Linked DNA regions of Notamacropus eugenii. The protein of the gene in region 3 interacts with the protein of the main gene of each other region in a biochemical or structural test. Links are inferred from orthologs where the notes say so. Each region holds a gene or a part of one and is shown on either strand. Other genes may lie near its edges.

Region 1 (7,375 bases), on a different chromosome or scaffold from region 3:
GTCAAGGGTTAAGTAAATTGCCCAGGATCACACAGCTAGGAAGTGTCTGAAGCTGATTTTGAACTTAGGTCTTCCTAACTCCAGACCCAGAGCCCTATCCACTGGACCACTCAGTTACTTTTTTCCCCCAGTGAGATCAATGATGCATTGATTTACTGAAGTATAAAAAATGTGGTAAATAAGTTAAAAGCCATAGAAAGATCCTTCAAGTTGGTGTCATTTTTCACTTTGTATCTCAAAGACCTAGTGCAGTGCCTTGTACATGTTAAACACAATGAAAATTTATAGAAATGGATTTATATGCTCTAGCAGTAAGAAGAAATAAATGTGCTGTCTTTCTCACGTTCCTCTCTAATATGGTCAAATACTTACTCATATTCATTGACTCATAAGCCTTAACCAGAAATAAATTAGGGAATTCTGATTATGGTTACCGTCTTTGATAACATAAAGGGAATAATTGATCAGGTGGTGAAATATCACATGCAGGAAATATGTATATGACAATATTTGCATTAGGTAGAGATGGGGAAATCATCTTATCTGAAGATATAGTGAAGCTTACCATGGATAAAAACCTGAGTAGCCAACATATCTCCACAGGAAACTTCTTTAATGTTATCTTCATGTTTCCTGAGAGTTGTTAGATTTATATCAATTTTTGGATATAAATACATTTCCCCATATACTGTAGTTGTGGAAGAGCTAAGCTCTAAAAGCATCTATCCAAAGGTTGGGATTTTCTTGACAGGGACTTGGAAGAACAAAAAGGAATTAGGAAAGAGCCAGAAGTTCTGGAATATAAAAATTTCTGGCCAACAATTAATTGTAGTTTTTATTTAAAGCTGACATAGACATCAATTTCCCTCATACAAAACAAGAGCCATCTTTCTCACTTAGAGGAGGAATGGTCACCGTTTTCAATAAGGCAAGAAAGGACTTCTTTCTAAGAGAGCCCTTCCCAAATGAGGCAATGATGGTATATCAAAAAGATCTTTGAATGGGGAGCCAAATATTCTGGGTTCCAATCCAGCTACAGCCACTAAATAGCTGGGGAACTTTTGTCAAATTTTTGCTCAAATTTGCTCAAATTTGCTCAAATTTTTAAGCCTCACTTTCTGCAGCTGTGAAATAAAGGTTTCAATGTCTAAGTTTTTAAATTTTAAGTATATATTTAGATAATTATCAAGAGGCAGCTGGCATTGTGAATAGAGAGCTGGCTCTGGAGTGAGAAAGATCTGAATTTGAGTCTGGTCTCTTCACCATATTTGCTGTGTAACCCTGGACAAGTCACTTAAGGTTTCAGGCAACTTTAAAAGACTATAAATTGCAGAAATGATGCAGACCTGGACCTGCATTAATGAGGCAGTTTCTTGCTGGCAGCTTTTTATACTAATGTAGCTAGAGATCTGGTTTAATAAAATAGATATTCACTAAAGGAATAGAGTCCCCTGTTTCTACTGTAGAACCATGCTTTAAGGAAGAGTTTTCTTTACCTTCTACTATAATAAACTGATAAATTCAGAACATACTGAAGCAACTAATAAGAATTTCTGTTTAGGAAGGTTTAAGTAAGTTATTTAAATAAAAAAAAATAGAGTCCTGGATATGCATCCTCTCAATCTTTTGACTTATTGATAAGACTTTTTTTTGCTTGCTTTGAGCATTTTGATTCCTTTTTCTATTTTTACATAAAACAGGAAATTTTACTAAAAGTGGTGAGTTTTTGAAAATATTCCATTAAATGCTTCTTCACATTCTTCCCTCAGTTAGGATCTTTTACATTTTGCACATCAATAGGAATAGAAGTTGCTATATTTCCTTCACAGTTCATATATTTACAATTAGAAATTCAGCAAACTTTTCAGTCAGGTAAAATATAATAGGTGCATTCATATAATAGCTACAGAGTATAATAACAACAGCAAATAATTTGACTTCATCCCTTTTTTTTTCAATTCAGCTGGTTTGTGCATGTGCATCCACCAGTTTCACTCACAGATTCAGAGTTCTTGTTGGCAACCACTTACCCTAAAGAGAAAGACTAGCTATTTGGGCCTCTTACAATGACTAGAAGCAAGTTAGATTCATGACATTCCACTTAGTAATTTTGATTTTGAGAAAAGCACTAAGATGATTAATTAAAAAGCCCCAGTTTTCATTTTAACCATAAGGTCAATAACCATTGTCATGCTGGATCATTTGTGTCCAAAAATAATTCACTGAATAAATGTGGAAGGCACAGCCTTTCTATGTGAGTGTAAGATAACATGACAATTGAAGTTCATCACTCAGAATAAAAAAAAGGTAATTAAGGCCTCCAGGCTGCTATGTTCCAGATGATATAGCACAGCAAGAAAATTCAACAGATTTCTAAAGTTGGTATTATACTCCCTGGTGAGGTTTTTTTTCCAAGGCAGCTATTTACAACTGTTCAGTAAGGACAAAATCTGCAAACTTTTTTTTTTTTGTATTAATACCTGTTCTAACCATAGAGAAATATAGTTATGCATGATTTCCATTGGAAATAGTACAAAATTAAATGAAAAGAAAGTATGTAGCACTGCCATAATTTAATTCCATTCTATTTTTAAATTTGAAAAGGGAGAGCTTAGGAAAATTATTTCCACACTTTTAGCTCAAGACAACAGCATATTAGAGAGCAGCTGAGGTGTTGTGGTAGGAACAAGAATAAGACAATCCAGGTTGAAGTTCTTGTTTTGCCATTTGCTGATTGTGTAGCCTTGGAGAAGTCACTTAACATCCTTAAGCCCCAGGTTTCCTGTCCATAATATGGAAATAATAACACTTGTGTTATTTAGCTGACAGGTTAAACACTAGACCAAATAAGATGTATGCAAACACATTACAAGTTCCAAAAAAGCCATATGTAAATATGAGTTATTATTAGCTAAATCTGGCAAATAATGATGTTTGCCAGAAATGGTAAAATAAACATCTTTTTAATCCCTAATACTTATTTCTGGGCCTTCTGGTGAGACTTTGGTTTGCTTGTTGCTTCTAGGACAGTTGCCCCAGCTGCTGCACTCCTTCAGGGAGGACACTCACCTATTTGACTGTAGTTGAGAACACTTTTCTTCACAGTCACTCGGATCAAGGTCAGAGGAGGTCAAAGTTTTTCAGGGAGAAAGGGAAAGCACCGTTGGACAGGTGCTTAATGACCTGCTTGTTTGCAGTGAGAAGATTTCCGATGAAGCGGGTGCATAACAAAGTGTGAAATGATCAGTTAAATAACAGTGAAGATGTTATCTTTCTGTGTTGCATTTACAGGCAAATGTAAAGAGATTTTACCCGTGGAGTAAAAAAAGGGGTGAGTGACCAGAGAACTCTACCTCCCTGGCCTCTTACTTCCGCCACCTAGGTGCCAGGGAACGCTGTGGAACTATGTTAGAGCTTCTCTCAGTCATCAGGGAAATCTGCGGCAGGTAGAAAATGGAGCTGTCCAGCACTTATTCAGAGCCTGAGAGTCCCTGCAACTCAGCTACAGGGCTCTTTTCCTGAATAATTTCGTCACCCAAGCTTAGGGCCCCGGTTTTGGCTCCATACCTACCCGGGCTCTTCCTCCAGTAGGACTAAGCGTCATCTGGGGAACAGTCTAGTCTCCGGCACAGGTTCCTTTCGGGAGTTGGGTCAACTTGCTTGTTCCTTTCTCCCTGCCCCTGGGGTTTCCCAATTTTAGGGGAGGCAAGTGACTACTGCGAATGTGGAGGTATCTTAAACGGAATAACAGCTTTTCCTTGTGCTTCTGCACTCACCTGTTAAGTGTGGCAGGAGGACGGGAGAAAGGGCAAAGATGGAATCAAATGTCCACTCACTTCCCAACCACCTTGTCCCCATCTAACTTTAATCCCACGCTAAATACTCTTCATTTGGCCCTAAGAGAAGTGTCTTCCAAGAGTCTTTTCAGGTCCTCACACTCAACCAGAGGGAATTCATCCACTGGGGCTTTCTTTCTGACATCTCGAAGTGGGAGGGAGATTGCATCAGAGGTTTGCTACAGTGACTGACCACCTATCTCCGTTTTACCTTCAACCCCCTCCCCCCATTACTTCATTCCATGCCCGTTCCAAGAGTTAACTCTACTCCAGGCAACAGCCTCCCCATACGCGGGAATCCACGGATTTGGGAATGGTAGAGTCAAGAGAAAATTGGGTGTGGGGTCATTTTATATCCCTTTTATCTTGAGTTCTGCACCCCGCCCCCTCGTAACCCCTTTCCCAGACTATCCAGCGGGGAGGGGAAAGGAGGAAAGCAGAGTTAAGCATCGGGGGGTTGGGGGGAGTGTCCTCATTGCTTCTGAAATGTGGCGACAAGCTAGGGAAAGACTCCAAATGAGTCTGATGGGGACACGTGATACGGGCGGAGGGAGGGGGGAGAGAGAAGAAGGGAGGGATGGGGGTGGGGAATGGAGGAGGAGGAGATGATAAAAAGAGAAGGAAGGGAGAGAGTAAGAAGAGAGAAGGGAGGAGAAAGAAGGAAAAGACGGGAGGGGAAACAGAAAAAGCAAGGGAGACAGAGGGGTAGCAGAAGCGTCTGCTTTCAAAATCACAAGGTTCCCCCAACCTCCTCCCGCCCCTTCTCTCCCACACGCACACATACACAGGAGCGCGCGCATACACACACATACACACACACACACACACACACACACACTCACACACTCACACACACACACTCACACACACCCTCACACTCACCCACCGCCCGCCCGCCCCCCTGCCTGAAAGCGCAGCGCAGCCGGGGAAGAAGATGCGCTGAGGCTGGAGGCAGCAGCGGCCGTGCTGGCGGCAGCGGAGCCGCGGCGGAGGCGGGAGCCCGGGCAGCCGGCGCCACAGCCGGAGCCGAGGGACTCCGGGGGAAGGTGACCAGGAAGCCCGAAGTTCCCGCCATGAGCAGCCGGTTCGCGGGGCTCCGCGGCCCCAGGAGTTCCTACCCGTCTGAGCCCGCTGGCAGCTCCGCGCGGCCGCGGCACCTCTAGTTGTTCTGCCAACCCTGCTCCCGGTCCCCGGCGCCACCCGGAGCCTCCGCCGCCGCCACTGCCACCCGCGCCGCCGCCGCGCTCCCGACACGCTTCTGCCCAGCGCCTTGGCCATCGCCGCGGAGGCAGCAGGAGCAGCATGTCTCGGAGGAAGATTTCTTCCGAGTCCTTCAGCTCCTTGGGGTCGGACTATCTGGAGACCAGCCCGGAGGAGGAGAGCGAATGTCCCCTATCCAAGCTCTGCTGGAACGGCAGCCGGAGCCCTCCCGGCCCTCAGGAGCCCGAGGCAGTCGCTACTGCCAGGGCTGCCACGGCCACTGCCACGGCTGCGGCCACTGCCACGGCGACCGCAGGGGCTAGGCGTGCACAGCGCCGGAGACGGGTCAACCTGGATTCTCTGGGCGAAAGCATCAGCCGCCTGACGGCGCCCACGGTGAGCGCCTGGCAGCAGAGGGGTGGGGGGCGGGGGAAAAGGGAGGGAGGTGGGCACAGGGGAAGTGGGGAAAGTTGGCTGGGGCTGGGGTCAAGGGGTGGATGAAGCGCAACGGGACAAACTTGGTCACTGGAGGAGGCATCGGGACCTTTCACCCTGACGCACTTCTTTGGTCACCTTTGCATCGGTCTCCATCCCTCCTCATTGAACAGCTCCTGATTTTGAAAAGATGGAGTGATATGGGACTCGGGGAACATGATCATCGTCTCTCATTAGGCTCTTGGGCTATATTTTTGTACCCCTTTTGAAATCTCTCACCCCAAGAGTTTGGTTCTCCTGCTCACCTCCTGTCACTTCACTAACATTCCAGGGCATCCACTGTTTTATCACCCCCTAAACTTTTTGAGCTTTTCTTTAACTAGTTTTTTCATCCTAGCCTTCATTCTCCTTCCGTTACTCACTTAATTTCCCTATGGTTAAACATCTCTTTGTTAACATTCCCTTTGTTAAATATTCCTCTCCTGAAAACCTTTTTTACTACTCTTTGTCATCTTATCTGCCAGTAGACTAACCTTCTGTTTTCTGAATTTCACACCTATAATTCAGGTTGCCTTATTCCCCTAGATCATTACTAACTTCCCATCAAATTACTTTTAAGAGTTGCCTCTTGTCCTGGAAACCTCTTATTAACCTATCCATATCTCTGCCTACCTTTCCAGCTCTCATCTGGTTGGAGACTCGGTGAGGCATCTTTTTCACTCCTTGTTGGTCCCATTTCTGGTTCATCCCCCAAATTCTTCCGATTCATTTTATGTCTTTTCTCTCCCTCATTCATTTCACTTTCATTCCTTTCATTCTCTTATGTCTTTCCCCCATGTCTCCCTGGATACGTACCATAGTTCCCTATTTTCATATTCCTCTTTCATCTCAAATTTACATCACATCCCCTGGTCCTTGAAATTCTTAAAAAATCAATTCAGCACTTATTAAGAGTTTTCTTCCTTGGTCAGGGTCTTTTTCCTTCTGAGTTTACCAACCCTTATCCATCTTTTCTTATGGGGAGACACTCTAGATCATTGTCTCCTGAGTTGTATAGTTTCTCCTACTGTGTCCATTCTGTTGTAGACTCTGAAAGAGATAGATAGATAGGGAGATTTTACATGTTCATATATATATGTGTGTGTGTGTGTGTGTATGTGTGTATATATATATATATCTTTATGATGAAAGAGAGAGAGAGATATATCACCATTCTGTTTCCTTGAGCTCCTTGAATGCTCTATTCAGTCTCTCCTCCCTTTTTCTCCCTAATATCTGGCTCATTGTCACCTTGGCCACCAGGCTTCTGACTCAAAAGAACTTCTCTCTATTGCCCAAGTACTTGCAGTTGGTTTAGAAGGCTCCTGAATGTCCATAATAAATCTGAAAACAATTTGACTGCATCCCTTTGGTAGGATGGGCAGCTCTAGGATTTGGATAACTGGTCTCTGTAGTGGAGCATTGGGGAATCAGGGTTCCATAGGTTGTCTAGATTGGTCAGGAGTCCAGGAGTTTCTGGGAATTCATTGTGGAATCTAAGCAGTGGGAAATATTGAAGAACTATTAGAAACTTTTATTTAGAATCTATGAAAATCACTCCCCCCTCCTTACCCTGTTGTTTTTCTCTTTCTCTTAATTGAACTTCTACTTCTTAATGGAAAAGCTCAGGCATAAAATTTAAGCAAGGTTATTTTCTCCTCCAGAAAGGATTGAATGAAGTGTGTTCTCAAATAGGAACATCAGCTTGGTAGTGCACAGCCTTGGGGGGCAATGTTATGTCACAAATCACAAAGTGGATGCCCTGAGAAAAGAGAAAAAAAGCCTAAGACACACATATAGCAACATGTACTTCCTTGATTTATGCTAGTACAAGGAGGGGGACAAGAGCGGCATTTGTTTCCTTT
Region 2 (7,216 bases), on a different chromosome or scaffold from region 3:
CACTGACATATGGGGAGAAGATGGGACAGGAGGAGGGAGAGACTTGGGGCATGCAGACCAACCCCCAGGCTGTTGGAAAAGTCTGGGCTGATGGGCTTTGGCCACAGATTGGAGGTGGGATGTGGGGAGTTGAGGATGACCCCCAGTCTGGGGAAGATGGTTAGTGCCCCTGGCAGTAATGGGGATGTTTGGCGTTTAGAGGGAAAGATCAGCTTCGAATGTGTTGACTTTGAGATGCCTAATAGGCCGTTGGAGATGTGAGAATCATCTGCAGACAGAGGATAATTGAATCCATGGGAGCTGATGAAATCACCCAATGAAACAGTCTGGAGGGAGGAGAGAAGAGGGCCCACAATAGCCCTTTGGGTCACCCAGGCACGATCTGGATGAAGATCCTGCAAAGACCGAGAAAGACCAGTCAGATAGGAGGGAATCCAAGAGACAGTGAGGTCACAGAGGGAGACCTGGAGAGTATCAAGAAAAGATGTGAGTCAATGGTGTCAGAGGCTGGAGAGAGGTCAAGAAAAGCCGTTAGATTTGGCAAAGACGTCATTAGTAATGCTAGGGGAGAAAGCCCCTGGAGAGTGGGGTTCTCAAGGAATCCGCCTTCCACTATGGGCTTGAAACATTCACAGATAAGGGAGTACAGGAATATAGGATACCAGGTCTCCACCCCCACCCCTCAGCAGTGACTGCCGCACACACACACACACACACTCACACACACACACACGATCCTCTGGGTGGGAAACAAAGGTACTTTGAGCTTTGGCTTTTGAGATTGGAGGGCAAGGGGTCTGGAGATGGTGGGAACTTGACCAAAAAGGCCATCTCCATCCTGATTTTACTCTCTGAAACGGAAGCCACATTGTAAAGGGAGATGGTCTCCCCTGATATCAGAATAGCTCATGCCTGTAGGCCAAAGTGCTTTCTTCATAACAACCCTGAAAGGTGGGTAGGATCTTTTTTTATAGATGGGGAAACTGAGTCTCAGAGGGGAAGTGACCCTACTAGTTGAATCTTGTGACCCCAGCCCAGTGCTCTTTCCACTCTGCTTGCTCCATGACATCTCCTAGGGTGCAATGGGAAAAAGATGGCTTTATGGACCTTGGGCCCCATCCTCGGTCACCCTGCTGGCTTGGTAGAGACATGACATTTGGAGTCCTCCCTTTCTCTCTTTGAGTTCTCCCTCAGTCACATCCTCTGGGCTTGCCTGTTGGAGCTCCCTGGGTTGGTTTCTTAGCCACTCCCTTCTCTGAACTCTGGGAAGAAAGGAATATTTCTTACTTCCACTTTGTATCTCTGTCCCTTCCCCACCCGGCCACCCGTGGCCTAGGACAGTGTGTAACACACAATCTAGCTTAATAATGTCTGTCTGCTTCAGGGCTTGCTGGCCTGGCTTTTTAGACTCTAAGCTGTGAGGCTCTTTGGCAAAGCTAGCCCTGTGCTAAAGGTCTGTGGGATACAGGGTAAGCTCTGTAGCAGTGTTTAGGATTTACCCGGGGCTTTCTACACATTACCATGTGTTCTCATTTGATCTCACCCCAGCCCAGTGAAGTGCATTGTCCTCTAGGTGCTCTCTCGCTCGCGCTCTCTCTCTCTCTCTCTCTCTCTCTCTCTCTCTCTCTCTCTCTCTCTCTCTCTCTGTCTCTCTCTGTCTCTCTCTGTCTCTCTCTGTCTCTCTCTGTCTCTCTCTCTTTCCCCACCCCTTCGCATAAAGAGATTAAAAAAGTTAGGTTCCAAGGTTTTTGCCACCAACTTGCCCAAGGTCACAGAGTTAATAAGTGTAGGACTGGATTTCAGTCCAGGTTTCTCTCAGCTTCAAGTTGGTCCAATGGTCTTTTTAATAGTGGCTCATTAATGTTGGCGTAGTCTTTCCTAAGACACTGCCCCACAAGTTTGCCATCTAATGGTGGGGAGTGGGGGGGGGAAGGAAAGAGATACAATGGGAAAATAATTAAAACATGTCAGGTTGATGGTACCAGCTCTTTCTGGAAGAAAGCAGAGGGTATGTTTTGAGGGCCACTCTCCCAGTGCTGCTTGGAGTGCTCGAGAGCCTGGAGTGTGACACATAGACTCGTCCACTGTCCTCAGCAGCATCCCTAACATTTCTTCTGAGCTCCAGTGCTGCCCATAACTGAATGTCCCTCTCACAGGGGAGGGGAGAAATGGGGCAGACTCAACATGTCCTCCCCTGCCCCCCATTCCTCCCCTCTTCCCAGCTTCCTCTTGTTGAGAGCACCACCATCCACCATGCTCGAAGCTTTGGTGTCATCCCCGACCCCTCCCTCCTACTCACTCCCCATGTCTGATCCACCTTTACATCTCTCCTGCATTACCTTCTGACCTCATTCAGCCCCCACCCTCATTACCTCTTGCTAATTAATAGCACACATTGAGGTGTCACTTTAAAGTGCTTTATAAATACCCCATATTGTCCCCACAATAGCCCTGGGAGGCAGGTACTATTATTTTTCTGGTTTTCCAGAAAAGTGAATGATTAAAGAGATGTGAACTCAGGTGGGTCTTCCTGACTCTGGGTGCAGAGTTCTCAGCTCATTCTTTTAGCTGCCAGTGATTTTCCTGAAGTTCTCATATGATCATAGTGATATGGTCACACACACACACACTCCCCCCTCTGTAAACTCCACTGCCCCCCTCCGCTCTCTTGGACCACATAAATCCCCCTGTCTGTCTGCCTGCCGATCTGCCCCTCTGGGTGAGTGAGCAGGGAGGAGAGGTTCTCGTGTGTGTGTGTGTGTGTGTGTGTGTGTGTGTGTGTGTGTGTGTCTGTCTGTCTGTATTTGTGTGTGTCTCTGTCTGTTTCTGCCTCTGTCTGTCTGCCTGCCGATCTGCCCCTCTGGGTGAGTGAGGAGGGAGGAGAGGTTCTCGTGTGTGTGTGCGCGCGTGTGTGTGTGTGTGTGTGTGTCTGTCTGTCTATCTGTGTCTGTCTGTATCTCTCTGTCTCTGTCTCTGTCTGCCTGCCTGCCAATCTGCCCCTCTGGGTGAGTGAGCAGGGAGGAGAGGTTCTCCTGTGTGTGTGTGTGTGTCTGTCTGTCTGTCTGTATTTGTGTGTGTCTCTGTCTGTTTCTGCCTCTGTCGTCTGCCTGCCAATCTGCCCCTCTGGGTGAGTGAGCAGGGAGGGGAGGCTGGTGTGTGCGCATGGGGGCTGGGAGCCAGCCCTATCAGGAGGAAGTGCACTTGGTTACCAATGGGGTTATTTTCATAACGGCTGTCTTAGGCTGAAGGGAGAGGGGGAAGGAGGGGGGAAGGGGTGACGAGGGGGCGGAGAGTAGGGCTGCTGCCTCCAAACTAGGACTTACCAGAGAGAGGGCTGCTGCCTGGAGCCCCAGGGCTTGCTCGCAGGACCCGGAGCCCCTGCTTACTGCTCTCCCTGCCTTCAGATCAGGTCAAAAGGGGACTCATCCCTTCCCTCTCCTTCCCTCCCCACTCCCTCTCTCATCTGCGTGGGGCCTCCTAACCTGGGATTTGGGGTGGGGTGGGGGGCACTGGGCACAATGTGGCCAGGAAGGGACTGGGATCCTCAGCCTAGCTGTAAGTGTTGAAGAGAGGGCACTCTGTGCCCCTCTGGTCCTGGGCAGGGAGTCCAAAAGAGCCTAGGATAAATATTAACCCAGCCAGACAACTCCCTTCCCCTTTGCCCAGAGCCTTGCCACCCATCCTGTTGCTCTGCCAGCTGCCTTGTGCCTGCTGGCTTGCTCCCCAGCAAGAAGTTTCCTAATGAAAGCAGTCTGGGGTTAGCTGCCTGTTCCTTCCTTCCCTTCCACCCCATGACCCCCCCCCCCAATTCTGGGCACTGATAAGGGAGGCCTCCTTCCTCCTGTGCCCTCTCTTTTGGCGGTGCCCAGACCTTCTCCCCTCCCCAGCCAGGGGCTTAGTAGCCTTTACCTGGCATCATGAAAAACAGCAGTTTTGGAATATGAGGAGCTCAACCCAAATCCCAGCTCCGCTCCATCATCCTCTGACCTTAGACAAGTTCCTTTACCTTTTGGGGGTTCAGTCTTCTCATGTCAGAGGCCTATGCTGTGTCTTTGCTCTCCCGTCTCAGACTTTCCCAGCCTTCCACCCAAGGCTTGTGGGAGTTGAACAGCTGGACATTGGCGCACAGCCAGCATCCCCTGGGGGATGTAATATGCCTCCTCCATGGGGATGGGGCTTCTGGAAGAAGGCTAGTTGCCTCAAGAGGAAGGGAAATGTGTGTCAGTCTTCTGGTCTGTGCTTAGGCCCTCCATGTAGGGAAATGAATCAGAACAATGGAGTGGGCTTCATCTCGAGCAGCAGCTGCTACCCAGAATGCTCAGAGTGAGCTCCTGCATCAGTGGGTGGTAGGACTGAGTGATCTGAAGCCCCCTCAAGTTGCAGGTGGAGGGTCTTTGGTCTCTTTCTTACTTAGTGGGCAGCCCTGCCCCGGGCTTTGGAGGGTAGCACGGAACATGGGAAGCACTGTAGCCAGGACTAGGGGCGATGTGTATGTAACAGGCTGTGGAGGCTGGCACTTTGTGGCATGAGCAAATACCCAGGTGGCCAGGCTGCCAGACCTCCTTCCTCATGTAGTGGACTGGGACTACCCTTCAAATTCACACTTCCCTTTCCCTCTTCCTTCTCCTCTCCCACCCTGGCTTTAGTGGGAAAACCCAGGAGATAGGAGAGAGCACTTTTGGCCTTGTTAAGATGAGAGCCACCTGGCATAGGCTCCTGGAGAAGCTGGGTGACACCTTTAGGCCTCTTCCAGCTCAGGAGCCTCCTTGAGAGGCCCAGTCAGTATTGGCCAGGGATCAAAATGTATATTAGACTGGAAATTCATTCGTTTCTGGAATGAGAGACCTTGAGGTTTTTCCAGCCTCCTAGCAGCTCTCCCCTCTGAACTGTTGTTTATCCAGTGAGCCAGTCCCAGAGAGGACCCAGGAGTCCCACTACCCAGCCCTGCCTTTCTTTTTCCAGCTCCTGGGGAGAGAGGTGAGGAAGCTGCCCATACCTTCCCTTGCTATCAGACTGTCCTTAGGTGGGCCAGGTCATGGGCCGAGGCCTTTGGGACTCATGGGTAAGGGTTAGCTGGGCTCCCATCTCGCCCTGGTGTGGGTTCTGCACTGTCCCAGGTAGAGAATCAAGGGGCCATGTCCCCTCCCTACCGCATTGATGTCTTTGAGGCTCTTTGGCGTAGCCCATTTGTTCCCCCTCATGCTTTCAGGCTGTGGGGCCCCCCACACAGTCTGGGTTACCACAACCTTGGAGCCCAGTGACCTTTACGCATCCAGCGCAGAATAAAGCTAGAAACGCAAGAAAGTCTAAGGCACCGTTGGAGCTCTACTGAGCTCTGCCCAGCATCCCAGCCCAGTGAGGGCTTAGGCTAGACTGGTCAGAGGTCCCTGGAGAGCGGTTTGCTGAAAAGGCCAGAGAGGAAATGGATCCAGAGCCGGCTGAGCAGAGGACAGGGTTGTCTGTGGTGACCAGAGGGAAGCTCCAGCACCCTGTTCTGTGAGGGAGGCCTCTCACTACCCTGCTCTCTCCTAAGGAAAAGGCAGCCTTTGAGGGGCCCCATCACTGTGGGATGAGCGTTGCTGAGTAGCTGTTAGCCCTCCTCCTGTGGCTGTGTGAGCCCTGTGCTCACAGGATGGATGACAGCAAAGATGTTGCCAGCGGAATGCAGGGTGGGGAAGATGGGCATCTGGGCACCCAGTGATTGGCCTTCCATCCAGGCCCTCCCTTTAGTCCATCAGCAAGTATTTTGGAAGTGCCTACTATGTGTCAGGTGCTGTGTTCAGGGCTAGAGCTGACCAGCAAGGGTTTACAAAGTGCCCAAGGGCCTGTCTGCCCCCTCCCCCATTCCCCACACAGAGACTGTGGCCTTTGTTTTCTGGTGACACTAGCATCAGGCGGTCTGTCAGGGTGACTAATCTCCTCCAGTCTGGACAGCTGTCACAGGACAGCAGAAAGCTGATACCCCATAGGAAAGCCTGAGGATAGTAGCATGGGACTGCCAGTCTGACAGGTGGCAAAGGTACACAAAAGGCCCCTGGACTTGAAGTGCCTGGGAAACCTCTGGGACCACAGGCCAGGACCTAAGAGCTGCCTTTGATGAGGGCCTCGATGCTCCACCAGGCCTCTGGCCCTCTCAGTCATTGGTACCCCAGGCAGGGCGCTGGCATTAGAAACCTGGTGTGCTCCCTGCCCTCAGACAGCTGCAATCTGTAGGGAGAAGCCAGGGTTGAATCTAGGGGCAGTCCTGCTTGCAGTGTTTACCAACTATGTCAAGAAAAAAACCCAATTGGTCTCAGTTTGCTCATCTATAAAATGGAGTTAATAATAGCACTTCAGAGGATTGTAGGAAGGGGCAAATGCAATCATGAATGTAAAGTGCTTTGTCACCTTCAGGCCTGTACAGAAACTAGGAGAAGGGAGGAGACGGCCCCCAGTATCCCACGCTGAGCCGCGAGCTGGCCAGACACATGGGTCAGTCATCAAGTGTCTGTGAAACCTGTACAGTGACCAGACATAGAACAAAGGAGGAGCCCTTTTCCAAAGAGTTTATGATCTAATGGTACAGATGTGTGTATACAAATTGTGTCTCTGAGGGACATTTTAAGTGCGTGCAAGGTACCCTCAAAGGGGATGTCTCCAACGCTGGCAGCCAGAGGCCTGAGGAAAGCCTCCAGGAGACAGATGATGGCATCTGGGCCGAGCTGGAAGCAGCCGCAGGGTGGGAGTGGGGACTGCCCCCAGTTGAGAAGCCCAGAGAGACGTAGGAGATGGAGCATTGGGAGTGAAGAACATCCACTAGGTCCGTGTGCCTTGACCTTGGAGTCTGTGGAGGGAAATGGTATGTTAGAAGACTGGAACAGGGGCTGACCTTGACCAGGAGGCCAGATGGAAGCCCCTGGAGTCTTGAGTATTGGGGATGACCTGATCAAACCTCAGCAGCTGAGTACAAGATAGATTGGCTTGGGAAGAGATGGGGGCAGGGAGAGCTTTTAGGGGGCTGTTGCAGAGATCCAGAAGAGAAGCCTGAACAGGAGTGGTGGCTGAGGGAGAAGGGAATGTGGATGGGACAGGAGCAGCCTGGGAACAGATGGAATGTGCGCTGAGGGAGAGAGAAGTCCAGGTGCTGCTGAAGTTCTGAACCTTGTTTGTTGGAGAATGGTGCTCTCAGGAGGACTTGGGAAGCTGGGATGAAGGGCTAGGTTGGAGGGAATGAATT
Region 3 (7,288 bases):
CTCTTTCTATCTCTTCCTATTGGGCTTTGTTAGTAATATGTTAGTAATGCAGATGATTTATGTGGGTTTATTTAATACAAAGTAATTTCATTCTATGAAATAATAGGGAGAGAGACTGGATTTGTTATTTTATTATATGTTGTTGTTCATCCTTCATTTTTTAAGAGGACAAATGACACCGCTGAGTAATATCTGTGTGTGTATGTGAATTAGATTTCAGTGAGGCAGGTTTTCCCAAAGTCATCAGCCTCACTCTCTCTTCCAGAGACATAGAAGTCCAATGACGACACAAAAGTCAGAATGACTGGTGATGGCCCAGGATGCAATGGATGGATGACCTTGGCATCTTTGATATCTGACCAAGCTCTAAGTGTTCCATGGATCCTACTTCAATTGGGCCATACTGTTTTCATCTACCCATTCTGCTGGAGGAAGTCTTCACAGTCTTGGGATAGACATCCCTTTAATTTAATATAAGAAACTTATAGATGAGGAAACTCCCTTTACCAAAACAGATCAGCACCTTCTCTTTAACATAAAGCACTACAAAGGTGAGGAAGGGAGGGAAGTGAGAGGGTAAATGATTTTCCAGGATCACAGAGCCAGTATGATTAAATGAAAAAGATAGTTTGCATGATTCCCATGCACAAGATCAATGAACCTTGGTCTTTCTGGCTCAAGGCTGGCTCTCTACTTATTAGGCCACATTTCTCACAATATTTTATAGATACTGAATAGAAACTAATTTCAACAGATGAGAGATAGCCTGGAGTGACTAGGGAACTAGCCTTCTTTCTGTCTTTAATGGATACTAGCTATGTGACCCTAAGGAAATCACTTAACCTATCAGTGTTCCAGACAAAGTTCTAAGGCAAAAAGTCAGGTTGTCAAATACAAATTTCCACTGGAAGACAAAGCTTCCTTACCAGGGAGCTTCCCATAAGGATGAAATCACACATCTGGACTAAAAAAATGAAGAGTTCCCCTAAAAGATAGAGTACTAATGGGGAAAAGGAAAGGAAAAATATTGTGGAGGAGATTTCAAATTTAGCCTTTGGGGATCAACTTTTCCTGTAACGTGGAAAAGAGGGTTGCATTTAGAGTCAGAGAACCTGGCTCCAGACCTCAGCTCATTCGCTGTGTGTGATTCTCTGAACTTAGATTCTTCTGTAAAATAAAGGGGCTAGTCTCTATGAACTGCAAAGATCTTTTCCACCTAGCAATCTATGTTCTAGCATTTTCTGACCTTGACCAACAAATCTGAACTTCTGAATGCCTTTGACAATTTTCTAAAATTTTAAGTTACAGCTGAGTCGAGGATCTTTATGGGTAGAAGAAACTTTCTACACTGATGAAATCTCCTGTCCAAAGCACCTCCACCCCCACCACCAGCCTCCCAAAAGTCATCAGACTTGAAGAAATCTGTTGTACTAAGAGGATGGGAGTTATGACTGAAGACAAAAGAGGTCAGTAATTTGAGAACATGGAGAATTTTGAGGGGAAGCGTAGATGAGGCACTGAAAGGCTACTGCAGTGGGGGATTGGGGACAGTATGAGGATAGGCATTAGCAGCATGAAGAAGCATGAGGAGTGAGGAGAATGCCAAAGAGAATCTTCACCTATTTCAAATGTTTGCCTAGGACTATCCTGGTGGCCATTAAAGGACAGAAAATGCTCTTCTTTTTCCTATTCCTCCCTCCATACTGCATGGTCTCCTGGTCTCAGAACCCAGATTTTAGAATAGCGCCATTAATACTATTGTTGTTATCCATTATGCTATTAAAGCTTAAAGCTGCATTGAGACTTTTGAGAAACCCAGTATGAAGCTCATCTATATAACAGATTAATAATAATAGAGCTTATATTTCTGTAGGGTTGTTGTGAATAAAGCATTTTAGAAATCAGAAAGACCTATATAGGGGAAGCTAGGATGTGCAGTGGATAGAGCACCAGGCCTGAAGTCAGGAAGACCTGAGTTCAAATCCAGCCTCAGACCCTTACCAGCTGTGTGGCCCTGGAAAAGTAACTTATCCCTGTTTGCCTCAGTTTTCTCATCTGCAAAACAGGCTGGAAATGGTAAACCACTCCATTATCTTTGTCAAGAAAATCTTAAGTGGAGTCACAAGGAGTCAGACATGACTGAATAACAACAACTACAAAGCACTGTACAAATGTGTTAGAGAGGCAGGATGGCAGGCCTTGTAGCAAATAATCCCAGGATTCAACTCCTGTGCCTGACACATTGGTTATGGGACACTGGGCAAGGTGCCTCACCTTTCAATGCTCTAAAGCAACACTTCTCAAATTTTTTGCTCTCAAAATCCCTTTATACTTTGAAAAAATGATTGAGGACCCTAAAGAATTTTTATCAACGTAAATATCTATTGATATCTACCTTATCTGCGATTAAAATATAAATTTTAAAAATATTTAACTCATTTAAAACAAGGACAAACCCACTACATGTTAACATAGATAATATTTTATGAAAAATAAGTATATTTTTCAAAACAAAAAATATTGAGTAAAAATGGCATTTTTTATAGATTTTTGCAAATCTCTTTAAAGTCTGGTTCAACTGAAGATGGTTAGATTCTCTAACCTGTTCTGCATTCAATCTGCTGTCATGTTTTTCCTTAAGACAATCAGGCCTCACACAGTCAAATAGTCAGGAAAAGGAAAGAGCATTTTAATAGGCAAAAAATGAATTAGTATTATCGTGAAATTAATTTTGCCCTCATAGACCTCCTGCAAGGACCTCAGGGACACTTGGGGGAGGGGGTGTCCATAAACACTTTCAGAACCACTACTCTGGGGAAGGTAATGGTGCTAGGTGCTACACACTGTGCTAAGTATTTTACAAACATTACTTCATGTGATACTGACAGCAACCCTGAGAGTTACAGTTTATTACAGTTCTGATTACCTCAGTTTCACCAGTGAGGAAACTGAGAGAAGCTGGCTACCCATGGTCCTTTATGTCAGTGGTAGGGTTGAAAAATGGAAAATGGAAATCCAGGTCTCCTATATGACTGAAATGACTCAATAACAAAACCTGATGCTGAGGGGAGCACTCTTTCCACCACAACATTGCTGCCTCTGTAATAAAAATAAAAGTAATAAATAATCTCAGTAAGATCTAAGGTTTATGCAGAATCACTTTTAAGGTTTGAAAAGTGCTATTGTGGCCTAGACTGGCAATGTACCAGTCTTTTGTAGCATTTTTCTCTATGAGAAAACATGTTCCCAATTCCAACCACTTCAAAAAACAAATCCTCCATACACTGGAGCCTGATACGCCCTAGAGAGAGAAGAAATAGGAAGGAAGTAAAGTTTGGAATGGGATTAGGGAGAAAGGACTCATAAAGCATACAAAATAAAAGAACAAAATCGGATTGAAGTCAAGGCAGGTGACTTCTCTGAGCAAACAGGGAGACAGCACAGTAATTCATGATAGCAGACGTTGGACTAAATCCATTTCCATTCCTTGGACATGACACAAGGCAAGTCCTCTGAACACGGAGAGCTTTGAGGAATTGGGTTACTATGGGGACTTCGGGTTGACCCTAAAGTCTGGATACTCAGGGTCTCCTTTTCTCCGGTTTTTTTTTTTTTCCTGAGGGTGCAAGCTACCTTCTCACTTAGCCCCGGAGTCCCCTTGTCTTTGACTTTCAAAAAAAATTCGTTAAGACGAGAAACCAACCAGAGCTCAGCAGAGAAAGGAAGGATTAGGTTTGGGCAAAGTAGTAAGAGATGGCCCTAGGTTTATTTCAGAAGGGGGATATTAGAAGGGTACGTGGCAAGCTTAGGCCACGAGAGAGGATAGCAGATGTGGCCCAACAAGGCTAGCTGGAGAGAAAAACAGCTGAGAAGACAGGAGCTGAGAGTAAAAAGTCTGTGAAGAGGAAGGGAGCCAAGGCAGAGAGGGGGCTCTTGGCACCGATTTGGGAGCGGTCGTCAGCTCAGGTCTCTGCTACGCTTAGTTGGGGAAGGAGGGGTGTAGGTGGGGTGGTGCAGCATTGGTTTGCCTTTGCTGCGGCGGCAGCGGCGGGAACTGGAACAGGTGAGCTGCGGGTGCCAGGTCCCTTCCCTGCCCTTCTCCCAGTGCCCTTTCCAGAGAAACCCTGCCCAGCTCTTTGCAGTTCGGCAGCTCCCCTCGGATTGGGGTTTTGCAATTGGCGGCAGGGTGCTTCTCCCCCCCCCCCCCCCCCCCCTCCTTCTTTTAGGTTGCTCCACCCCGCCCCGGATCCGGCGAGGGGGGAAAGCAGCAGAAGCGATTAGCTGGCGCTAGCCAACTCGTGCTTGCGGAGTGTGTCTCTGAACTCCGGGAGTGAAGTCCCGCGGCGGCGGCAGCGGCAGGCGCTGCCCCTCGGGTCTCGGGCTTCTCGCTCCCGCAGGACCCCTTGGCCTGCCCCTACCCCCTTCCCTCCAGCACACCCACCCTTCCCCACTTTTTTTTCCTTTTGCAATCACATGGTATTTTAAGAATGCTGGAAAGATGGCGGTAGCAGCAGCAGCAGCTTCGGCAGCGCCGGCTGGAGGAGGCGGAGGCCGGGGACAGCGGAGCGGGCTGCTGGAAGTTTTGGTGCGGGACCGCTGGTACAAAGTTCTGGTGAACTTGAACGAGGACTCCCTGATCCTGAGCAGCGAGGAAGGGGCCGGAGCTTACAACGGCATCGGGAGCGGCGGAACCACCAATGGCTCTTTCGGCCGGAGCAGTGGCGGCGGCGCCAGTGGCCACGGCCCCGGGGGTCTCGGGGGCGGCGGGGGCGCTGAGAGCGGGAACCAGTCCCTGAACACCTCTGTGCCGGCGGTCGGGGGCAGCCCCCAAGTGGGAGTACGCACTGCCTTCACTGACCTGCCTGACCAAGTGCCCGAGTCCATTGCCAACCAGAAGCGGGGCGTGAAGGTGCTGAAACAGGAGCTCGGGGGGCTGGGCATCAGCATCAAGGGGGGCAAAGAGAACAAGATGCCCATCCTCATCAGCAAGATTTTCAAGGGACTGGCAGCTGATCAGACCCAGGCCCTGTACGTGGGGGACGCGATCCTGTCTGTGAATGGAGCCGACCTAAGGGACGCCACCCACGACGAGGCAGTTCAGGCGCTCAAGCGAGCGGGTAAAGAGGTTCTGTTGGAAGGTAAGGGGTTAATGCCTCCTGAGACTCGCTGCGCATACAGACACAGGCATACACACAGACACATGGACACACACACACGCCAGGTGGTAAAACACACGCACTCGCTGGGGGCCGCGCCGTCTTGACAACTTTTGTGTCCTACCAGCCTCACCTCCCCATTCCATGAAGTCTGCCAGCGGCAGCGGAGAGATGACAAGCCCGGGTCACTTCAACTAGCTTTCCCGACCTGGCCTTGTAAACACTACCCTTGGGCTGGTACTACAGTAAAGGTCGGGGTCTGGCTGGGATGTGAGGGTGTGGGAGGAGTATGGTTGGAAAAGTGGAAGGAAGAGAATAATCCCAACCTCTCACATGAGAATTCCTACTCTGGCGCTTTGGGTCTAGGGATTGACTGGGCGAATTGGGAGAGACAGGGACAGACCAGGAATGTAGAATCGAGCGCATTTAGGGTTAGGGTTAGGGTTAGGATCGAAGGTCCCCGATCCCCCTCCCCCACCCCCACCCCCCCTTGCAGTTGGTGTTGGGCAAAGTCTAAGACCTTTCACTGGCTGCACGTGTGACCTGTAGAGACTGGTGATGTCAGAGACAGAGACAGAGAGAGACAGAGAAACACTTGTCAGCTAGCTTAGGCAAGGCGAGAGTTTTGCTAAGAAAATGTGGCAGTTTCGTGCAGGAGTTCGCCACTCCTTCTGCAGGGCGTCTGTCGGTCCAGTCCGGCTGGATTCTTGATTGCGCTGCGTGGAGAGCTGTGAGGTCGTTTTCTGCCCACATTTTTTTTTTCTAGGCTTTCTTACTGTAGTCATATGGTCTGGGGCTTCAATCTGCACTAGTTTTTTATCCGTGCCTGAGGTGCCTTAGAAACTACTTCGTGAGCCGATTAACCTGAACACCTCTACACCCCTCACTAGGGCTGCGTCTGAAATACCCTAGGAATTACTGTTCATTACAGGTTTGGAGATATCCAATGTTGTGAATGCGGGGGAACAGTTGCAGACCAGACAATTAATTCTTCATGCCAACTGCGCGCACATTATCCCTCCATTCTATGGAACAAAACATTCCATCTGAGACCCCGTAAAAAGCCATTTGTTGTAAGCCTGGGAGCACGGAATCTGGGTGGAGGAAGACCAGTCTGGCCAGACTCCCTGATGGCCTTGTGGTGGTGCTGCTGTCTCTCGGTGTGGAGCTGTGAGAGGAAGAGAAGCCGCGGTCGAGCCCAGCGCTGCGGGGAAATAAACTTTGCAACTTGTGACAGGTGATGCAACTCCCTGGAATATGATAGCCCACCTGATGGCCCAGAAGAAATGAATTAAAGCGACGCGGAGTTGGGTGTGGAGGTGTTTCTGTACTCTGCCGACGTACTGCTTTGTGCCTCCTGCTTCTACCGCCCTCCGCAGCTAACTCGGCACTAGTCAATTTGCTTTGGCTTGGTGATTACCATAAGTAAACAGTCAAGTTTTTCTTTGCCAAGGTGTGTTGGGGTAGGTGGGTGGGTAATAAGACCTGGTCCCAGCCAATTATAATTATGTGTGTATCTATATAATATACACATATACACAAACATACAGATACCATCCAACCCTATGTCTTTCTGGAGCCCAGTAAAATACTGAATAGAGGCTAGTAGGATCATTGACTTCAGGCTGTTACTTTAGGAACTAGCCCCATCACCTCTTCTCATTCAGTTTTCTTTTTTTTCTTTACACCCTTTTCTCTTTTTTTCACACTCCTTGGGGTCTTCCGGTTTTCTGACCAGCAATTCAGATAGTCATCTAAACAGATGCTTTGTGATGTAGCAGGCAGCACAATCTGAGTTCCAGTCTAGCCTCGGGCTCTGGCTGGTTATACGACCCCAGACTAGTCTTTCAGTGACCCTAGGAACTTCTTTCCTAGACTTAAATTGCAGAACACTAACTCAGTTACATTGATTGCAAGCATTTCCTCACTGGAGAGCTTTCTGCCCTGATGAAATTATTGGTCTGGACGAAAAAAATTATCTAGTAAAGAAGAAAACAAATTACCCTGGGGTTGAGGTCAGTGGGGTGGTCTTGGAAAGGATAATATCAAAGAAACATATGATGAGGGAAAGTGGGAACATGCCAGATAGAGAATGAGCTCACCTGGCTGTTGGGGGAGGTAATATGATGCAG
Region 4 (7,442 bases), on a different chromosome or scaffold from region 3:
TTCTTTTTTAAACTTTACTTACAAAGGATGTAGAGTGGAACTTTTTTTAAGAAGTACTGAACTAGGCATCTGAAAATCTTGTTTCAAATAGCAGTTTCCTTGTTTAATAAATCTTTATGTGACCACGGATCACATATAATTTAACCCTCCAAGACTCAGGTTCTTTCCCTGTAAAATAGGAATTATAATACATATACTGTGTACTTGGAAGATATATTAAAAAATCCTAATTCTTAGAGTGCTATATAAATATAAGTTATTATTACCACTGCTAATTTCCTGCAATGATTTTTAGGATATATATCAATTTGAGATAAGGGGAAAGAGGATGAAAATTCAGTAGCATAAGAGGCAGCATCATTTAGTAAACATCAAATTGCATTAGTAATCAGGGAACCTCATTTTAATCCTGTTTTTATGCATCACTGAATTATATAGCACTAATCAGGTGTTCTCTATCAAACTGACTCTTCTGTAAAACGAATATAATATTTACCTCTCCTTCTCTCTCTCTCTCAAGGTGTTTTGGTTCTGTTTTTGTTTAGGATTAGGTTGGAGATAATGTGTGATTCCCATATTAAAGTTCCAGCTTCCCTGCAAAAGGTGGGTCTGGTAAAATCATACCAAACTCATCTAAATCCCTAGGGTACGACTTGGCATAATAAAAGTAGGGAGAGTGTTTTACCCATTCTAAGTAATGTTAGCTGAATTGAACTGAATCTGGAAGGAAGATGCATAACTTGAGGTTATTACCTTGTGAAAATTTACTCTTTTGAGTCAGGATTAGGTTACAGAGGGAAGTTAAAGAATCCCCTTTTCCAGAAGCTATTTTCAAATGCCTTTTGGGGTTAATAATATGACTGAGTATAGTCCTACCTTAGAGGCAGAGGACTGGACTAATTGGCTAACTGAATTCATTTGACTTGTTCTCATTCCGTATTTGTCCTAGTGTCTGATGTCTCAATGACACAGCAAATCCAACTCAACATGCCTCTTAACAAGTTTGCTGTCTTCTGAACTTGGTGGTTGGGCTGATAACCACAAGGTTTCCCAGTCTAACTGCCAGGAAAAGGGCATCCAGAGTCCCACTCTCCCTCTTTCCCAACCTCTGCTCTCATGTCCTCATCATCCCTTCTCCGCTAACTCCCATGGGCCGCTTCCTATTGGCCAGCCCGAGGGAGGGGTCCATGAGATAATAACCTACAGCTAAACTCATTGCTTGTTGTGCACTCCCGCCCTTGGCCTAGCCTAGCCCTGCCTCTAGAGCCAGGAAGGGCAGGCAGATAGTGAGTGTAGGAAGGCGGGAGACGGAACAATCTTCCAGTCTTTCCTCATTTGCCCTCTGTTCCATCCTCCACCCCCTTCAGTGCAAGCACCAAATCCCCGTCCCAGTCTTAACGGAAAAAGGCGGCCATCGGAATGACTCGGCGTACTTGTGCCTGTGCCAGCCAGGGCCAAGGCACCCAATATCCCCTTTGGCGGAGCACAGACGAGACAGACTTGGGGGGAGGAAGGGGGAGGAGGCAATAGGCCTGGCGACAGTCGCCTGAGAGATGAGCACACTCGCACGTGAGAGGCAATGCCACCTGGCCGGGACCCGGGGGCAGCCAGCTCGGCACAGCCGGCCCCAGAGCAGCGCAGCGCGTGGTCCTAGTTGGCAGGAGTCGGCGGGAGCCAGCCCTTCCCTGCATTAGCTACTGCGGCAGCTGCTGGGGTCCATCTCAGCATTCATTTCCCCTCCTCTCCGTGCCCCTCTCTAGCCCTCCAGCCCATTGACTGAGCCTCTTTCATCCCGGGCACACACCTTCTATCCACCTCCCCTATCCCTCATTGCCATTCTCCAGTAGAGGCAGAGAAAAGAGACCATCCAAGACTATCTCATTCTCAGACGCCCTCCTCGCCCCAATCAACTGAGTCTTTGCTGAAAATGAACCCCCACCCCCGTGACCACCACCCCTCCTCCCCTTTGCTGCACCAGCGCCATCCTCGTGAGCAGTTGCCCTTGCTGCCTATGTCCGGGTTTCTGCGCTAAGATGCTTGTGAGATGCAAGTAGGCGATACACAGTGTCTAGCTGGGGACTGGGAAACAACGCCGCGAGTCCTGGAGCGAGAGGGCTAGGGAATCTCCTGTGCAAAATACCCCACAACTCCACCACCATCCCCAGTCAAGAAGCGATCCCAGGCCCTGTTCTTGCATCAGATACGCGTCCACAAGAGCACAACCAAGACTGGCAGGAGTTCTTGAATGGGACCCTCCACCCCCCCCATTTCCCTTTGCCTCGCAAGCGCGCCCATTCAAACAATGTTGAGGCTGAGACCCCCCCATGCTGGGTGTGAGCGTGCCCAACACACACACACACACACACACACACACACACACACACACACACACTCCTCTGGGGGCAGCTTCAGCTTTTTGTCTATATATGGACTCTCCTCCCAGCACTCCAGTACAATGTATGTTATATCGTGCACGCAATGGGCACTCTTAGCACACACGCGCTCAGCCCTTCTCCTTAAGGGCATCTACGAGCCCCGGAGGTCTCCGTTCTCATCCTCCTCTTTCTCCTTCTCCTCCTCCTCCTCCACCTCCCTGTGCCACCCGGTGTGTACTTACTTTATACCTGGTCTCTAGCTCGGGATGAGTGGGTGGGCGCTCGGCTCTGTGCGTGCCCCCCCGCCGCAGCCGGTTCTTTTCGCTGTCACAGGGTGAATGGATTTATTTATTTATTTATTTCCCTTGACGTGTCCTCGCCAGCCGCAGCCAGAGGAGGAGGAGGAGGCGGCGAAGGCTGGGAGGGGAGGTGGAGGACTGATGAATGCCCTTGTGTACGCCTCCTTGCGTGTGTGTGTGTGTGTGTGTGTGTGTGTGTGTGTGTGTGTGTGTGTGTGTGTGTGTGTGTGTGTGGAAGGGAGGGGAAAGGAGGAAGGGCAGGCAGCTGGAGGGAGGTAGAGGGAAAGAGGAAGGAAGAGAGGCTTCATGGGCCAGCCGAGCTACAGTGTAAAAGCTTCCGACTAGCGCCCCAAACCTGCCCTGACTCACTGAGCATGCCCAGCTCAAGTCATGCAGACTTTCCATGGACTGAGGGCATTCGCTCCCGCTTTGTCTAGATTTTAGTGGTGACCTGAGAGTGAATCCGGAGGGAGTCCCAAGGCAGGTAGAGAGATCACTTAGAGCAGCCTCAACCTGCTTGGTGTACAGCGTGGGGGACAGGTGTATTGTGGCACCCGCTAGACAGCTAGGTGAATAAGGCAAGGACATTAAGACAGTAAAATATGCAGTCTGAATGGGAAAGAGGATGGAGGATAGCTATCCTGGACCCTGAGGGGCAAAAGAGTTCTCCTTTTCCTGAAGAGGGAATTAGCCGTTATTTGGTCACTGGATTCTTCAGGCACCCAACCAAATCATTCTAGTGGAGGGCAATGGAATAGAGCTGGAAGAAAATAAAATACAGGAAGAAATGGAAGTTTATAAAAGTTTCCCTTCATGTGATTCTGAGGTCACCAAATGACAGGATTTTTCCTAAAGGTTTTTTTTTTTTTGGAGTGGGGGAATGAGGGGTCTAAGTCTGTGACTGAAATGGTGTATATGAAAATTCCCTCTCCTAAGGAAGAACAGAGACTAATTTGTAACTTTTAAGTTTAAAGTTCTCGAGGAGTAGTGAGAGGGTTAAGCGACTTAATACACAGCCAATGTGTGTCAGAAACAAGACTTGAACTCAGATCTCCCTAACTACAAAAGTGGGCGGCTGTCTCCTATGCCATTCTTGCTGCTGCCCAAACCTTATGAAAGTAAGACATTCAGTTAACTGGAAAATGAATAATTATAAGAATAATAACTATTATTTACATTTTTTGTTTAGTTCAAAAGCAATCCCCATGCTTTTCAATCACCTTTCCCCCCCAATGAAATAACTTTCTGTAGAATTTCTCCTGACTGAAGGAAAGATAGATTAGAAAAGATAGAAATTGAAAGGACAAATATAATTTTCTACAACTAAGAAAGTCAGGCCTTTGTGTCTTTAATATAAAATTGATCCTTAAAGTTGTTCAGATGACAAAATATGGGACTTTAATTAAGAATGTAGTTTTCCTACCAATTCCTTTCGAAGAATGAGTGGTTTTTTAAACTGCTTTACAACTGTTCATCATGCCCTTAAAATAAAACTTTGGATCGGCTTTGCTTCTGGTTTGTTTCCAAGAGTTCAGAAGGCATCTTCTCTCAGAAAGAGTACTTTGGAAAAGCAAATAAATCAATAAATGAATGACCAGACAAATAAATCAATAGATAACTAAGCTAGAATTGGGAAAACAACTACAAAAAAAGAATTAGGGAATGCAGTCCTTTTAAATAGGATTGTCTATGCAGTAAGTTCTCAAGTCTAAGACTTCTTTATAAGAAGACTGAAGGGTAACAGCAGTTGTTTTTCATGGAAATACTGTCCAAGAACACTATGTTTTCTTAGAAAACAAGAGGACCACTAGAATGTCGGGATGTGCTTCCTAAACATCAGCACAGTAATGCAAAGAACTTGCAAAGTCAACTGCATGTACATGTGTATGTATGTGTGTAAATGTATATATTTATGTGTAAGTATACATCTATGTACAACACAGATGGATATACACATATACATAAACATGGATATATGTATGTATAGATACATATAATAACCTAATATTTATAGAATGCTTGCTAGGTGCCAAGCACTGAGTTAAGTGCTTTATAATTTTTATTTCATTTGGTCCTCAGTAACTTTGGAAGATAAGTGCTATTCACCCTCGTTTTGCTGGTACCAATACTAAGGCAGAGGTCAATGTGGCTTGTAAGATTGTATGACCTGGCCTAAGTAGATAGCCCTAAGAAAGGTACCTCATAGATAAGGACAACTTGGAGAGGGCTTTGCTACTTTTTTCCCTCAATGGTAAATTATTACATTGAAGCAAATATAAACCATTAAATATTTAACAATTTTTAAATTTGTTTTTACCGTATTTGTCTAACAGTTCAGTTTATAATTTAACAGCATCTAGATTGAAAGATAAGTTACTTTTCTAATAGCATTTCTGACACAATGATCTCTCAAATTTTATAATATATGAAGAACTTTAGAAACACAATAATAATGCACATGATATCATGGATTTAAAATATGAACAAATTTATACCCAGATGGTGATATCAATTCAATTGAATGCATTTCCAAATTATCTCACATAGAAAATCATTCATTTTATTACTTTTAGTGTGTTATATCAATTATATTAAAGGCCAACAGAGAATTCTTACATTTACTAACATTTATATACTGCTTGTTATGTGCCAAGCACTATGCTAAGCATTTAAAATCATGTGATCCTGACTAGAAAAATAGGAGGTGGGTGTTAGGATTTTTCCCCTTTATAGATTAGGAAACTGAGGTAAACATAAAGTAATGAGCTTAAGAGCACACAGATTTTACACTAGATTCTGATTTACCACAATTATCTTAGTAAGAGACCGTATCTCACTGAAAATTAGACTATATGATATTTTAATTTCAGCACAAATTTTGACCAAATCGTCTCAATTTCCCCAAAGACCCTCTCTTTCCACTTAGCATTTGTAAAAAAAACAAAGTCATAGTCGCACTTTTTCTTTCTTTGAAATGTCCCAGAGATTGACTTCCAGGAGCCATGATATTGCAGTAAGCAATAAATCACTGTTACTCTCCCATTTTCACCTCCAAACAACCATAAAATAGTGCCCCAAAACAAATCCTGGAACAGCAAAACCAGCTAAAAGATGGGTAAAGCAATCTTTTAGCCCAAGAAACTTGGAAGATTGGCAACAAAAGTCCATCTCAATCAGATAAAAGGAGAATACATTCCAGAACAGGAATCATCAAACCAGTGGGAGATCTTGAGCCCCAGTGTGATGGAGTAGGCAAACACTAGCACAAGAACACCTCTCTGTCCCTGCATGCCTTAGCATAGCAAGGAGAACCAGCAGACTCCAGCTCCAAGAAGCATAATCCTCTGGGAAAACAGACATTCTCCAGAAGGCATACCTCCATGTGCCTCAGTGTAGCACCAAGGAAATGTAAAAACACATTTCTAGGCCTCAGCACATACAGGACACCACCAATAGGATCCCAGTTCAGCATCAAGTAAACTACTAGAACCCTACAGCCTTCAGTAGCACCATCTATCCACAAGAGAAGAGGGTCCCCATGGGTCTCTGGGCAACATCAACACAACACCAGGTAAACAGCAAGGGCCAGCAGGCCCTGGCCCATGAAACTTGAGACAGTGCCCCTTTCACCCCAAGAAAAGAGTTCAAATTTAAAAGAACAAAATTAAAGGGCCAAAAACAAGAGCAAAAAAATCCAAACCCAACAAAAAAGAATCTGACCATAGAAAATTATAGTGACAGGGAAGAGTAAAACACAAACTCAGAAGAGAACAACAATGTTAAAATACCTATGGGCAAAACCACAAAGGAAAATGGGAAGTGATCTCAAGTCCAGAAGGAACTCATAGAAGATATCAAAAAGGAGTTTCAAAATTATATTAGAGGCAGAAGAAAATTTGTTAAAGGAAATGAGAGTGATGTAACAGAATTATTGACAAAAGAGTCTACAGCTTGGAAAACTGCTTAAAAACAGAACCAGACAAATGTAAAAGGAGATGAAAATCCACTGAAGAAAACAACTCCTTAAAAAGTACAATTGACCAAATGGAAAAGAAAGTACAAAAGTTAACTGAGGAAAACAATGCATTAAAAGTTAAAATTGGACAAGCAGAAGCTAATGACTCTCTGAGCTATCAAGAACCAATTAGGCAAATTCAAAAGAATGAAAGATAGAAGAAAATGTAAAATGTCTCATGGGAAAAAACAAGTGACCTGGAAAATAGATCCAGGCAATATAATATCAGAATCATTGGACTACCTGAAGCCATAATCACAAAGAGGACTTGGACAGCATCTTTCAAGAAATTACCAAGGAAAATTGCCCTGAGGTCCTGGAACCAGAGGGCAAAAGAGGTATTGAAAGAATCTATTGATTACCTCAGGAAAGAAATCCCCCAAAAAAGTTCCAAGGAACTTTGGAGCCAAATTTCAGAACTATCAGATCAAAGAAAAAATACTACATTAGGGAATGCAGTAACAGAAAGTAACAATCCAAATGTCAGGGAGTCTCAATCAGGATTAAACATGATGAGAAAGAGGAGTACACTTGGTGCAGAAGAAAGAGAGGTAGAATGGGGTAAATTATTTCACAAGAAGAGACGCAAAAGACATATTACAGTAGAGGGTGTAGACCCCTCCCCAAACCACTTTGAGCACCCAAGACCTGATAAAGGTCTCAAACCTGAATTGGTCAATCAGGAGAGACATTCTGGTGTGCTCTCAGCTTAACCTACAATAATGCTTTCCATGCTCTGACATAACAGATATA

What was found.
Region 1: the proteins of SNTB1 (region 3) and GUCY1A2 interact in a test that uses a peptide from one of them, tested with the Homo sapiens proteins (2 studies listed by IntAct, with this or other methods). The link is inferred for Notamacropus eugenii from reciprocal best matches to the Homo sapiens genes SNTB1 and GUCY1A2.
Region 2: the proteins of SNTB1 (region 3) and DGKZ form a complex in vitro, tested with the Homo sapiens proteins (2 studies listed by BioGRID and IntAct, with this or other methods). The link is inferred for Notamacropus eugenii from reciprocal best matches to the Homo sapiens genes SNTB1 and DGKZ.
Region 4: the proteins of SNTB1 (region 3) and SLC16A7 interact in a test that uses a peptide from one of them, tested with the Homo sapiens proteins (2 studies listed by IntAct, with this or other methods). The link is inferred for Notamacropus eugenii from reciprocal best matches to the Homo sapiens genes SNTB1 and SLC16A7.

What each region holds. Positions count from the first base shown.
Region 1 is NC_092876.1:147,947,599-147,954,973, forward strand, and holds the start of GUCY1A2 (guanylate cyclase soluble subunit alpha-2), read left to right. Parts: upstream 1-4,344; 5' UTR 4,345-5,138; coding exon 5,139-5,432; intron 5,433-7,375. UniProt on the Homo sapiens protein: Has guanylyl cyclase on binding to the beta-1 subunit. Isoform 2 acts as a negative regulator of guanylyl cyclase activity as it forms non-functional heterodimers with the beta subunits.
Region 2 is NC_092877.1:4,447,299-4,454,514, reverse strand, and holds the start of DGKZ (diacylglycerol kinase zeta), read left to right. Parts: upstream 1-4,213; 5' UTR 4,214-7,216. UniProt on the Homo sapiens protein: Diacylglycerol kinase that converts diacylglycerol/DAG into phosphatidic acid/phosphatidate/PA and regulates the respective levels of these two bioactive lipids.
Region 3 is NC_092875.1:124,293,736-124,301,023, forward strand, and holds the start of SNTB1 (beta-1-syntrophin), read left to right. Parts: upstream 1-4,257; 5' UTR 4,258-4,498; coding exon 4,499-5,138; intron 5,139-7,288. UniProt on the Homo sapiens protein: Adapter protein that binds to and probably organizes the subcellular localization of a variety of membrane proteins. May link various receptors to the actin cytoskeleton and the dystrophin glycoprotein complex.
Region 4 is NC_092874.1:235,355,601-235,363,042, reverse strand, and holds the start of SLC16A7 (monocarboxylate transporter 2), read right to left. Parts: upstream 3,004-7,442; 5' UTR 2,618-3,003; intron 1-2,617. UniProt on the Homo sapiens protein: Proton-coupled monocarboxylate symporter. Catalyzes the rapid transport across the plasma membrane of monocarboxylates such as L-lactate, pyruvate and ketone bodies, acetoacetate, beta-hydroxybutyrate and acetate.